3 linked regions of the Drosophila melanogaster genome follow. The protein of the gene in region 3 purifies or fractionates together with the protein of the main gene of each other region. This does not show direct contact. Each region holds a gene or a part of one and is shown on either strand. Other genes may lie near its edges.

The links. Proteins that work in one complex are often made in the same cells at the same time.
Region 1: the proteins of Trp1 (region 3) and TwdlF purify together in Drosophila melanogaster (affinity purification with mass spectrometry, with the first as the bait; one large-scale study listed by BioGRID). This does not show direct contact.
Region 2: the proteins of Trp1 (region 3) and Hpd purify together in Drosophila melanogaster (affinity purification with mass spectrometry, with the first as the bait; one large-scale study listed by BioGRID). This does not show direct contact.

The regions. Positions count from the first base shown.
Region 1 is NT_033777.3:4,245,296-4,248,828, reverse strand, and holds TwdlF (TweedleF), read right to left. Parts: upstream 1,810-3,533; 5' UTR 1,769-1,809; coding exon 1,745-1,768; intron 1,686-1,744; coding exon 645-1,685; 3' UTR 516-644; downstream 1-515.
Region 2 is NT_037436.4:20,437,651-20,441,702, forward strand, and holds Hpd (4-hydroxyphenylpyruvate dioxygenase), read right to left. Parts: upstream 2,223-4,052; 5' UTR 2,125-2,222; coding exon 2,122-2,124; exon of another isoform or gene 1,905-2,121; coding exon 1,878-1,904; intron 1,811-1,877; coding exon 1,427-1,810; intron 1,369-1,426; coding exon 715-1,368; exon of another isoform or gene 651-714; coding exon 576-650; 3' UTR 516-575; downstream 1-515. Other genes in the region: CtIP (CTBP-interacting protein), read left to right, coding at 1-225, 290-475.
Region 3 is NT_033779.5:10,008,592-10,013,675, reverse strand, and holds Trp1 (translocation protein 1), read right to left. Parts: upstream 3,323-5,084; 5' UTR 3,194-3,322; coding exon 3,119-3,193; intron 2,940-3,118; coding exon 2,124-2,939; intron 2,070-2,123; coding exon 1,768-2,069; coding exon of another isoform or gene 1,764-1,767; exon of another isoform or gene 1,558-1,763; intron 1,277-1,557; coding exon 1,183-1,276; 3' UTR 506-1,182; downstream 1-505. Other genes in the region: CG13131 (uncharacterized protein), read left to right, coding at 1-42, 96-405.

The DNA.
Region 1 (3,533 bases), on a different chromosome or scaffold from region 3:
GTAATTTTAAGACTTGAACTCTTGTAATTTACACATTTAGTTAAATAAAGTTCATATTTTGAGCTCCGCCTTATGATAGAAAGCGACTCTGCAGCCATATTCAAATATGAAATCGAGTTTCAATACTTCAAAGTAACAAAATAGTTTTCTATGGACCATGTTACCACATCCATTAGTCCAATGACAGCCATCCAAGCCGAAAACCGGTCGCATAAATTAGCATGTGATTTGACTTACATAACAACGATTAAGCCACACGAAAACTTGATTATTATGGCTGTTGGCTTAATGCCAAAAGAGATGGTCCAAACTTTCTTGCGAGAAAGAAGTCATTGTCATAGTCTCTTAGCCCATTGAAACATTTTTGTGATAAAAATAAACAGCGTTTTCATAAGAAACATTAAACTCAAGCTATGCCTTAAATGAAAGATTAATTCCAAATCCTAAAACAAAACCTATCTAAAATATTAAAAGGATTAAACTTAAAAACGAGTACTAGAAACAGAAGGCTTTTTGGGTTTCGATTTAAATTTTTTTATATTTCTTTCGACTTTCGACTTTTGCATTAAAAATAAATTAAAATTTACTACAGTATGATGGTTGATATAAAACAATGAAAGCGATAGGATTCTTACTACAACTTTTTAAAAAGTCTTTGCCGGCACATACTTCCTTGATGGCGCCGAGGGAGCGAATGAGGAGGTGGACTTCTGCACAAAGGAGCTCTGCTGCTGGACCCCCTGGACCCCCTGGTTAATAGACTGCAGCTGAACAATGGGCTGACCCTGTGGCTGGATAATGGTTGGCGCCTGAGAGTGGATGATGGTTTGGCCAGCTTGGGAGTGCTGGGGCACAAAGCTGCCCAGGTTAAGGGAGCCACTCGAAACGCTGGCGATGGGAGCCACTCCCTCGTCCGAAATGTGGGTTGCACCTCCCAAGGCGTCGTACTGGGCCTGGATTTCCTGCTGGGCGCGCTGGGCCTCTTCCTGGGTCTTGTACTTAATGAAGTAGACCTCCGGCTTTTGAACCTTGGCCTCAGACTGGGTAACCTGCAGCTGCTGCTGGATCTCAGTGAGATCGGGCTTTTTAGAGAGCACGTAGATGACGGTCTTTTCCTCGTTGCTTGACTGGGCCCGCTTCAGGGCCGCGGCGGTATATTTCAGATTCTGGGAAGGCGCTTTAATGAAGACGATCCGGTAGTTCTTGCGGATGGGCACATTCTCCAGAAGTGGCTCGTCCTGCCGCAGTTCCTCATTCTCCTCGGGGGCGGAGTGGATGTAAATGTCCTTGGTAACGATAGCGGGGCGCTGGACGAACTGGGTCTGAAGGGCTTGCTGCGGTTGCTGCTGGTACACGATTTGCTGAGGCTGCTGCTGCACAGTGCTGATCAGGTTTTGCTGGGGCGAAGCAGTAAGGAAAGTCTCCTTTGGGAGTGAGATCGACAAAGGAGCGGGAGCGGGGGCGGGAGCAGGAGCGGCAACGATGGTCTGCACGGCTTGAATGGCTGGCTGGACACCGATCGCGGGCTGAGCACCGGCCTGTGGGAAAGATGGGACGGCGCCACTTGCGTATATTCCACTTGACGAAATGGGTGTCAGAGGACGAAGATTGCCAATGGGAAGGGCTGGCAGCTGAGGTTGGTACTTGTATCCCTGAGGAGCTGTTGCTGTGAGGGCCACCAGGCACTGCAAGAGCACATTAAGTGTTAGTTGTTGCGGGGATCGCTCATGTGCCAGTTGCTTACCATTAGAACAACGAACTGCTTCATTTTCACTTTGAACTGTCTGAGCTGCTAGGGTCGAATGATGCCCTGCCTTCCCATTGCTATGTTTTTATATCTGTCCAGGCTGGCATCGTTTTCCCAATAAATGAAAAAATTATTAGGCACTACCATAAATCGTATGAATCTATTATAGACTTCACAACTTCGAATATGTAACGTTTCACATTGGCGGTTGCCAAATCACAGATCCGTGTGCGCAGATGCACTGCTTGAACAGTCCGGGATCTTATCTAACTTGGCGACCAACGCTGCGTTCAAATTTAAATAATCGCTTGAGATCCCCATTGTCAACGCTGAATATATTTATATGCAAAATATTAATAGGTAAAGCGGTTCGATTGACAAAACTGGGATAATATGAAGAAAGTAAGTTTTATGGACGGAAACCCAATTTATACACATTCATGACCAAAATTGTGGGAAGCGATCTATCTGCATATAAAATTCGCTTTGTCGCAGATGTTGTATAAATGAATTTGTTATTAAACAAGTCTTTTCAAAAATGCAGAAAAACCAATAAGCTCAAAGATATTTGTGAAAATATGCTCAGTTCTTCAGAAATATAGCACTTCATGGCTTGAATCCAACCTGGAATCATGCTAACAATACTATTGTTATGGGTAATGCTTTTACTTGCTAGTTCAATTGTTTTCTACTTGCACAACGGTAATTGGAAATAATGGGCAATAACGGTAATGGAAATAACGGACAGACGTTCATGGCCAGATCGACTCGGCTATTGATCCTCATCGAGAATATATATACTTTATATGGTTGGATCTGCCTGTTACATAATTTTCAACGAATCTAGTATACCCTTTAACTCTACGAGTAATATAAATATTCTTATAAAGTGTGGTAAAGCGAATTTTGGTCGGCAGTTGAGCGTTAATTAGGCGAGTCGATGTTTTTAAGTTTCAATCGAAAACATTCCAAAAATCAAGTTTTCATTTGACGAAATGAAATAAATTGCCCGTTACTCAGCTAGAGGGAGTGCGAACGAGTAATCGCAACATTTTTTGGGCGGTTTGTTAGCGTTAAAGTGGAGGCAAAACAACATGCCAAAAACCCATCGAAATTGGCAGGAAAAAATTAAAAATATGTTATTTACAATTTTGAACAGTGTGGCAGCTTTTGGCGATTTGTGGGTGTTTGATCTAATCCATCCAGCTTTTATAGAACAGACAGACATGGCCAGATCGACTCGGCCATATGAACGTCGAGATCTCAGGAACTATAGAGGCTAGAGAGTTGAGATCATGTACATAGACGCAGCTTTTTGCCTTGTTAAATTTATTAAATTTTTCCTCAGTTTATTCTCCAATATCTATCGAAATACCAGAAAAGTGGTGAATTGATCTGAGTAACGGGTATCTGATAGTCGGGGAACTCGACTACAGCATTCTTTTTTGTTTTTTGTTTTTACGACTATTAAATACCATAAGTAAGGGGAATTTTATGGCCTGTACAGTTTTGTCGGTACAAAAAACGTTATCTAAGCATGCATAGAATTAAAAATGCCGTTATGTTTTTTAAATAAAGTTGTTTAGCACAAATTATTATTATAGAAAAAACAGATTATCATTGATTCCTATACATATTGTGGTCCCCGTGGCACATTCTTTTTCACTACGTGGACTACGTCCGTAATGATTGCATATAGTCACGGCTAATCTCCTTTCCCGGTAACACGACATTGAAACATAGTGTTATACCAAAGGCACTAATGTCTTCGGTTATATCTTATACT
Region 2 (4,052 bases), on a different chromosome or scaffold from region 3:
CCAATTACCAAAGTCGTGAAAATGGAACCTATATCCCAGCCAGAAACAGACTTAGGCAACGAATCAACAAAACTGCCCGAGGATATTGAAAAGTATCTTATGGATATCAAAGAAGAGGATAGTAGGCATTCGGAGGAGGAGTTTCCGCGACCGATTTTGATCAAGGAGGAACCTGAGGCGACGGTCAAAGAACGTTTTAACATTGAGTGCGTCGAGTGCGAAAAGGTATGTACAATTTTCTCGACCATCCACAACTAAATAATATTTATTTCAAATTCGATCCACTTAGTTCATCAATTTTATGGGTTCAAATCTGACAGACGAGAAGATCAAAGATTATTTGGCAAAGTGCCGGCATGAAGACGCTCGCAGTTCAACTCCGCCGGGATTCTGGAATCCACACATGGTTTCCTTCGCAGAAGGCGATCCACGCAACGAAGTGTTGATAGACACTCGGTTTTGGGACCAGAGATAAAACAAATGACATTTAGGCAATCAATTTACAAATAGTTTTTCAGTTTAGACCATTTCATTTATTATTGATTTTGTTAGTTCTCAATTTGATCACATTTGATTCACAAGTTTCCTCGCTTGGCTTGTTCAATTTCAATGGCCGTGAACAAGGACTTAAAGTTGCCAGCGCCAAATCCCTGAAATAGTAATGATCATGATTTACTTGTTCTTAGCAACAGTAGGTTAAGCAATAAATCTTACATTGTGATTGTAGCGTTGGATAACTTCCAGGAAGAGGGTCGGTCTATCCTGGCAGTTCTTTGTGAAGATCTGCAGCAGATATCCGTTCTCGTCGAAGTCAATCAAAATGTTCAACTTCTTCAAGACCTCCATGTCCTCCTTGATCTTGGTGCGGCTGTGCGAGAGCTGCTCCTGAAGGATCTCGTAGTACGAGGATGGGATGGTCAGGAACTCGGTTCCTCGAGCCTTTAGGTTGCTCACCGCCTCGATAATGTCATCCGTATTAAGAGCAATGTGCTGGACACCACCGCCGCCGTAGTACTCCACGTACTCCTGGATCTGTGACTTCTTTTTCCCATTGGCTGGCTCATTGATCGGCATCTTCACCGTCTCCTCGTAGTTTGCCATCACGATGGACCGCAGGGCGGAGTATTCCGTGTGAATCTGCGAGTCATCCACGGACCAGAAGCGGTGGAACTGCAGGATTCTCTCGTACCAGGAGGCCACGCTCTCCATCTGCAGATCCGGCTGGTTGCCCACCACGTGATCAATGAAGTTCAGCTTGGTGGAGGGCAATCCGTTTAGAAGGACATCTTTGGGCGACCGCTGGAATCCAGGCAGGAAATCTCCAGCGTACCCATTGCGCTCCACGAAAGTGTGGGTAGTGTCGCCGTACTGCATTCAAGTTAAGGATTAATCCTTAAATATTCCAGAATGAAATCCACGGACTTACCGTCTTGATGGTAGCGAATCTCACGAATCCCTGATCATCGCTCTCCTCCCAGATGTCGCGGACCACTTCGGCCCCACGGGACACGGCCAGTGTGAAAATGGCATTCAAATCCTCCACTTCGAAGGCTACATCCTTGACACCGTCGCCGTGGCGCATCAGGTGGAGTCCATGCTCCTCGTCATCCGGCGTGTAGGCGGAGACGAACACAAAGACGATCTTGTTCTGGCGGACGGCATGCTTGGCGAAGCGTCGCTCCCCGGTCTCTAATCCCTGATAGCCAAGTGGTTCGAAGCCCAGTCGAGTGGTATAGTAGCTGGCCGCCTGCTTGGCGTTGCCAACGTAGAAGGTTAAGTGATCAAAGCTTAGAAATTTGCCGGCTTCAGGCTGAAAGTAGTGAAGAAAGTAGGTTGGCATTATACGCTCCAATATTGGCATACGCTTTCGAACTTACTTTGGTTCCTTTGTCAGTATAGCTGGTCTGTTGGTAGTTAAAAAGAAATAATAGAAGTCATTAGAATTAGATCACCTTGAAATGGATCCTTAGAAAGTCTGTATAATTATCATTGGTTTATCCGCTTTTGTTAGACAGTATTTGTTATAAATCCTGTTTGAGAACTCTTTAAAGTCCATTTAATTCGCACTAAAGGGCTGTTACATAACCACATAGCCACCACATGTCCCATCGTCTCATTTACCATTATCACTCAGACTCAATTTATGCAAATCCTCTCCTCGCACGCGATATAGATTTCTTCGTTCCGTCGATCTTACACGATCTTCAAATTGATTATGGCCTGAGCTCAGCCAGTCGGAGGCTTTTTATAGGGCGCTCAGGTAGGTGGATCAGGTGAAAATCCTGTACTAATTTAAATATAAGCCAAACTAGTATTTTGTTTATTTCGAATGCCATATTATCGGAATATCTTAGCTAGCTGGTTATTGATCGCATATTTAAGCTAAACCTGCATGGATTTGTTTACTAGAACAGGTGGATTACTTAATTAATGCAATCTCGAGCGGAATGAATTGCAATATTGTAATGCGGGTCGGGCCTCCAATCTGTTTACTTCGTATCTGAGCGGCGCTTTGCAAGTTCTGCGTTCGAAATTTCACTTCCTTAAGCTCGTTACATGAAGATACAGATAACTATGTGTTCGTTATGCAAAAGTTCGGCCCATGTCAGAATTCAGCTAAATATTCATGAAGTCAAGTCTAGTGAGTTCGAAAATCGGTTGCCAAGTCGTACTAAACTTGATTCCAGTTTCGAGCCCCCAAAAACGCAAACAATGGGCCAACTGAGTGTTAATGCTATCTGAATTGTTATTGTTATTGCCATTGTTACACAGTGCATAATGTGGGGCGTTATTGAAGTTGTTTTGCATTAGAACCGCTTTGCAAGGTTCTCAAAACAAATGTACAAAAACTGGTTAACAAATCTGTTTGTTGTTACGATCTAATAAAGCGGCACACGCTAGTCACAAATCATCTAAATTGATGATTGCCTTTATCGGTTTTTAATTGCGGGGATAATAGCTCTAAGAGGATTGGAAAAGGATTTCAAATCATTAGCTTGATGGTTATTTTCTTTATTTGAAAGCGCATAATTCAGTTGTATTTAAATATAGCAAGACTGGTTTTGGGAACTGGATTAGTTATTTAAGCAAGTTCTATTATTTTTATAGGTATTTAGGAATATCTTGCTTATAGATGAATGAGCGTTTTAGTGATCGTTATTCTTTAGTTTAAAGTTAGACAACATCACTATAAATGATACAGATAATATAGATATAGATTTAAATGTAATTCAACAAGCAGCCAATATGTTGAGATTATAAGATCATAATTGTTAAACGGCGTTTATTTCTATCATAGTAATAAAAAAAAGTTTATCTTGTGCTTGCTTTAAAGATCTTTTGATCGAGATATTGCCCCTGTGCTTTTTTTTGGGATAGGGCAGTTCTCTTAATCATTTTGACTGACGATTCGTGTCAGGTGTTTGGCAACATGCGACAAGCCCATAAATTAATAGTTTTTGCCGCTCAGCCACATGCTATGTTCCCTGCACACATGGCGTATGAGCAATTCAGGCAGCTAAGCATTAATGATTAGCCCTAGACAAAGTCTCCCCCAGCTGCTAATGATGAACTGACAGTCCGATGGAAGTGGTGAGGTGGGGATGGGATGGAATAGGTTGGGAAAGAGTGGGCGATGGTCGATTGGTCATTGGCAAGAAGCCAAATCAATGCTTGACATTTATTATGATTGGCTTATTAGGGCGCTGCATAGGCGACAATCTGGCAAAAGTGGTAGGAGTTGGAAGTGGCCCTTGTCGCCAAATTGCTCCAGATGGTATTGTAGCTATTAAACCATATGACTGAAAAGGTTCTTCTATAACAAACCCATTAAATTCCTAGGCGTATTAATAAAGAACATTCTATTCACATTCATGCAAAGTAATGCATCTGAAAATACACAATTGGGGCAACTTTCTAATTTCAAATCCTCCCAAGCCCTTTCACAACATTGATTCCATTATCGCCCTCATAAACTGCGAGGTTTTCTATTTGTTTACTTTACACCTGGCGCTCCTTGGGTTCCATTAGTCAAAGAATCCCGACGCACTCCC
Region 3 (5,084 bases):
TTTTGTGGCCCTTCTCTTGTACACCAGCTTAGCGAAGGAAAGGTTAGCTACTGAAAACAAAAATGATATATCTATTTACTAATTCTAACCCTTAGATCACATCCAATGCGGAATCATCCGCTGACCTTGCTAGCTGCTCCAAAAATGGCAAAGGATGATGCATTAGCCGGTGTTTTCTTCTGGCTGGTCGGTTGTCCATCGCGTGCCAAACTTCTTGCCAAGCTCACAGTCTACGATCCATTCGATCAAATTGGACGGAGTATGATCATAAGACCACGTGATTTATCTGAGAACCAAGATCCTCAAGAATTTGTAGTCAATTCGAAAGATCATTTGCTTATCAGCGTTCCACATAAGCAAAGGACTTTTCAAATAACTGTGGTCATAGATGAACCGCAAACTTAGTTATAAAGGATATCTATTTACTTAAAACTAAAATCTATAGACGTAAATTTTCATTTTTAATCCCTTTGATACCACGAGTTTAATTTTAAAGACAAATTGTATGTTGTATATTTTTTAATAAAACGTTCGAGCAAGAACTAAAAAACGCTCAAATATCTCTCACATCAGATCAGAATTGCCTAGCTTTATTTATATAATAGTTAATTGCGTGTTACACTACTAATTTCATTAAGTTGTTAGTTTGCTTTAATTACATGTAGAGTAAATATTCATGCACATAGAAACGTATGCGCTCACATCTACGTACGTACTCGCTATGATTATTATCAATTGCAATCGTTTCTTGCACCTGCCTAGTGCGTTCCACTGTATACATTTACAAACATAGGAATACAAATAGGTAAAATATAGGTAGTTTGTTTAACGGCTTAAGAACTTTTGCGAAAAAAAGATGTCCAACTGCATGGTGCATAACCAAATGTCTTTGTCTCACATAATATTCCGTTTAAAAATATTGTGTTTCATATGCAAGCCTACATCCAACAATAAAAAATATTGCAAAACCTCAAACCTAAGCTCAATTTAAAGCAGATTAGGAAATCTTCAATAAAGAATAACGACACCGATCGCATTTCTTGTGGGACAATAATTCGCTGTACTTGGAATCGTGTGTGTTTGCTGATGTACTTGATGTGTGATTCTTGTTCTATGTCTTATCAATTAGCTAGATGTGGATCATTAAATAATAATATATATATATATTGTGGTTTCTTCATATTAGTTGCCAGCAACGTTTTGGACTTCACTTGAACTGATTATCTCGTAATCTTTACTCGAGCTCTCCGAATCCGATCCCGAGTTGCGTGGCGTTCTGAAAGCAAAGCAAATAAGTCGGAAATTACTAAAATGCATTCATCAAAAGTAAATGTAGGACTGTAAGTACAATGAATATCAAATGAATGGGATGCAAAACTTACTCTGCTTTGATGCGATAACTTGCGATAACTTTGGAATACCTCAAGTATCACCAGAAAACAAAAACCAGCAACCAATAAAATGAGCCACCACAAATCACGAAACAAATGTATTTACAAATAACATGCTTCGTAAACGAAATAAAAATGTTATGAAACGCAAACCAAGAATCGGATTAATGCATTTTAATTATACAATAATATTTATTAAGGAACAAAGGATTTACAATTAAAAGCTAAAGTTAATGTATGTCTTTTGCGCTATTCAATATGATTTAGTGTATGAAAAACATACAACCAAAAGTTCGACGGAAATAAAAGAAATTATAAATACAAATTCGAGCAATAAAGCAGGAATCCTGGTCATTACTGAGCGGTTCCGTCTTACCCAGCTTTGGAATCCTTGGGCTGCGCCTTCGTTTCTTCTTCATCCACATCGTCTTCCTCGTAGTCATCGGCACCCACTTTGCGACGTTTGCGGATCTCCATGTCGGTGTCATGTTCTTTGATGAGCTCGATTTTCTCTGGTTCAAGCGTGGAAACCTCAGCATCCACATCACCGTCAGCGTCTCCATCCGCATCCACGGCTGTGTCCTCGGCATCGCTTTCTTTTTCCTTCTTCTTGTCCTTCGATTTCGATTTCTTGTCGGTCTTGGCGGACGAATTATTTGGGTCACTGTTATAGTTGCTCTAGAGATGAAGGTAATTTAGTAAACTAACATAAATGGATAATTCGAAACAAACCTCATATAGTGGCCAGAAGGAGGCGAAGAAGCTCACATCCTCAGTCAGGTTGGGGAAGATCCAGAAGTGCAACTTGCCGCCGGTTAATGCCCACACGATGATGAACACAATTAGACGTACAATTGTCAGAGCCAGGATGAAAACAAGGAAGCCGGCAGCCGCAATGGACAAGTAGTAGACACCCTTGCGTAGCAGTGGAGGCCACAGAGGGAATAGGCAAATGCCAACGGCGCCAAGTAGCAGGATGAAGCCGAATATCCAGTAGTGGAGCGGTATGGGATCGTAGATCCAGACGTATGCCTCGGAGCCGTCCACGAAGATCTGCTCAGGATGCATGTCCAGGCGGATCTTGCGCTTTTTCTTCTCCTTTTTCTCCTTCTCTTTTTCGTTGCCAGACGCACCTCCGTCTCCTTGGCCATTATCGCCTTCCGGATCGGTATCCTTCTTCTCATCCTTTGCCTTGTCCTTTTCCTTATCTTGGGTCTTCTCCTTGTCCGCCTTCTTGTCGCCTCCAGACTTTCCTCTGATCTCCTCCAGAGTGACGGGCACCTTCTTGGCGCGATGGAAGAACTTGTGCTCCAGCATCACGTCTAGAAACTCGATTACCTGCTCCCGGGTGGTGAAAAGCGGATTGCTGCCTTCGGTGAATTTGGACTTTAGCAGAGCATCGATGGCCTTGCTGGAGGTGAAGTATTCGACGATGTGGCTCAGGAATTTGGTCTTCTTCGTCTTAACGTTCTTCTTCAGCCACTTGGCCACGTTCTTCTCGTCCTTTGACGGCTTGTCTACCTTCTGGGCACCCGGTTCGGTGTATTCCTATAAGAGGAAAAAAGAGAAAAAGGTCCGAAAACCAGGTCAGAAACTCACTTTCACGATCGATTGGTTAAATGGGGGGACTACAAGCGAATATAGGCCACGACACCAATTTTGTATTCGTCACCCTCAAGCCGTTGAGATGGCTTTATTATACGTGGGTTTTATTTTTTCCTAAGTACCGTGCCATCGTCGTAAATATCCTGCTCCTGCTCCTCTTCTTCCTCCTCCTGGAAGTACTCCTCCTCTCCACTCATTACGAGAATTAATATGCGTAACTTAAAAACTGCGAACTATATAAATAGAAACAACTATTCCAGAAGCGGTTGTAGTTTTTCTTAGCCGTGACGTGTTGCATTCGCTCTGAGAGTCTAGAAAGTATTGAATCAAACGAGCTGGTGATCACCACAACAAACAAACACATGGATACTAAACAGGGGAGCAGTTGGAAAATATGCAAGGGGGTTTGAAGCTGTATTGATACTCATAGCTGTTTAACGATTGAAATGATATTAGTGATAATTTCCCATGTATGTGTGGAGCCAATGATTAACAAAACCCTCTTAAGCGCCGCCTCTGCCCAACTTACACGCGTACTCAAACTTTCCCCAACAACAACACGAATAACCACAATAACAACAACCAGAGCAGCTGATAAGTGGGCCTGCACCTGACATGTGTGGGTAATGAGCGAGAGGGAGAGCTGGAGAGAGCGAGCCAGCGAATGAGCGAGATCGGCTTACAAGACGGACTTACGGCGTTGCCAGATAGGCAAAAGCTTGTAAGCTCAGCTGTTTGTATTGTAGACCCCAAAACTTAATTGACTGAAAAATAAAAAAGAAAAGGTAGAACTCAAATTCCAGATACAGCTAAATACGCAGCGAAGACATTTTCCATAAAGCTAATTATAGACCTTTTGCGGGCGGGGGGCATCCCACGGGGGTTTCTCCAAAGAGCAGCGCAACCTGCACTGAACTTGCCCCCCACAAATAATATTAAAATATTGAATGACCCATCTGAACTCGCAATTCAGCGTTTTGTTTCTTTTCGAGTCAATTTTACTTTTTTTCTGCATGCACACGTTTTTTTTCTCCTTTTTTATCAAAACAAAAAACAAACACTTTCGGCATGTCAATTGGACTGTGGCACCCACACACGCGCAGCCCCTTTAGAAGGATCTAATTGGAAACAGTTAGCACTTACATCCTTGCGGCGACGGGCTCGCTTCTTTTCCGACATTTTCTAGCAAGTGTGACGATCTGCGGGCTCAAAATTGATTCTTTCAATAATTTTGATAATAATTCTGCCACACACGCACCACATAAACATCCACGATAGGGATGGAACAAAAGTCGATGTTCACGCGATGCTATCGATGTTTCCAGCAACTCCGTGAAGCGATTATTTCCTATCGCTGGAACCACTAAAAATGGGAACTAGTTGTTTTTGAATTATTTTAATGTTTCATATTCATAGGTTAAAAGGATCATTTAGCAACAAAAAAATATGAAATCAATATTTTTAGAAGGTATTGAATTTTCTTAACTAATTTTATGATTATACAAATAATAAAATTGTGTCGCGAAGAAAACCTCCCATTTCCTTTACGGTAATAAAAAACAATACAAAATAAGTAAAAATATACCTTTCATACTAATCGAAAAGGTTAACCAAGTTGTATATAACTTTAATATTATGAAATTCTCCCAAAACACACATTTCTTTAATGTATGTCAATTTAAATAAAGTTTAAATTGCACTTACATTTTAATACTGTATTATCCAAAATATATATGAACCATATCAAGCAAAACGTGAATATTGCAATGCGAACTCAATTTAATTTCCTTACATCCTCTATTAAAATTATCTTTTTATTAATCTTTGTTTTACAACAAAATACAGACTAAATAATAAGTAAAATATATTATTTATTATATATTCTTATTATTATTATTAATAGCGACCCACGCAAAGGGTTCGATCAAAGTTTACTCTATTTTGTTTTCTTCCGGTTGTTGTGTAGTTTACGTTTTCGTATCGTTTGCGTATCGGTTGTGGTGCGTTCTGTACCGTTTTTTCCGTTTTAGGTTGTGTCTCGTTTGTTGCAGTGACAGATGATGGGGAGAGATGGCTAAAACTAAACCA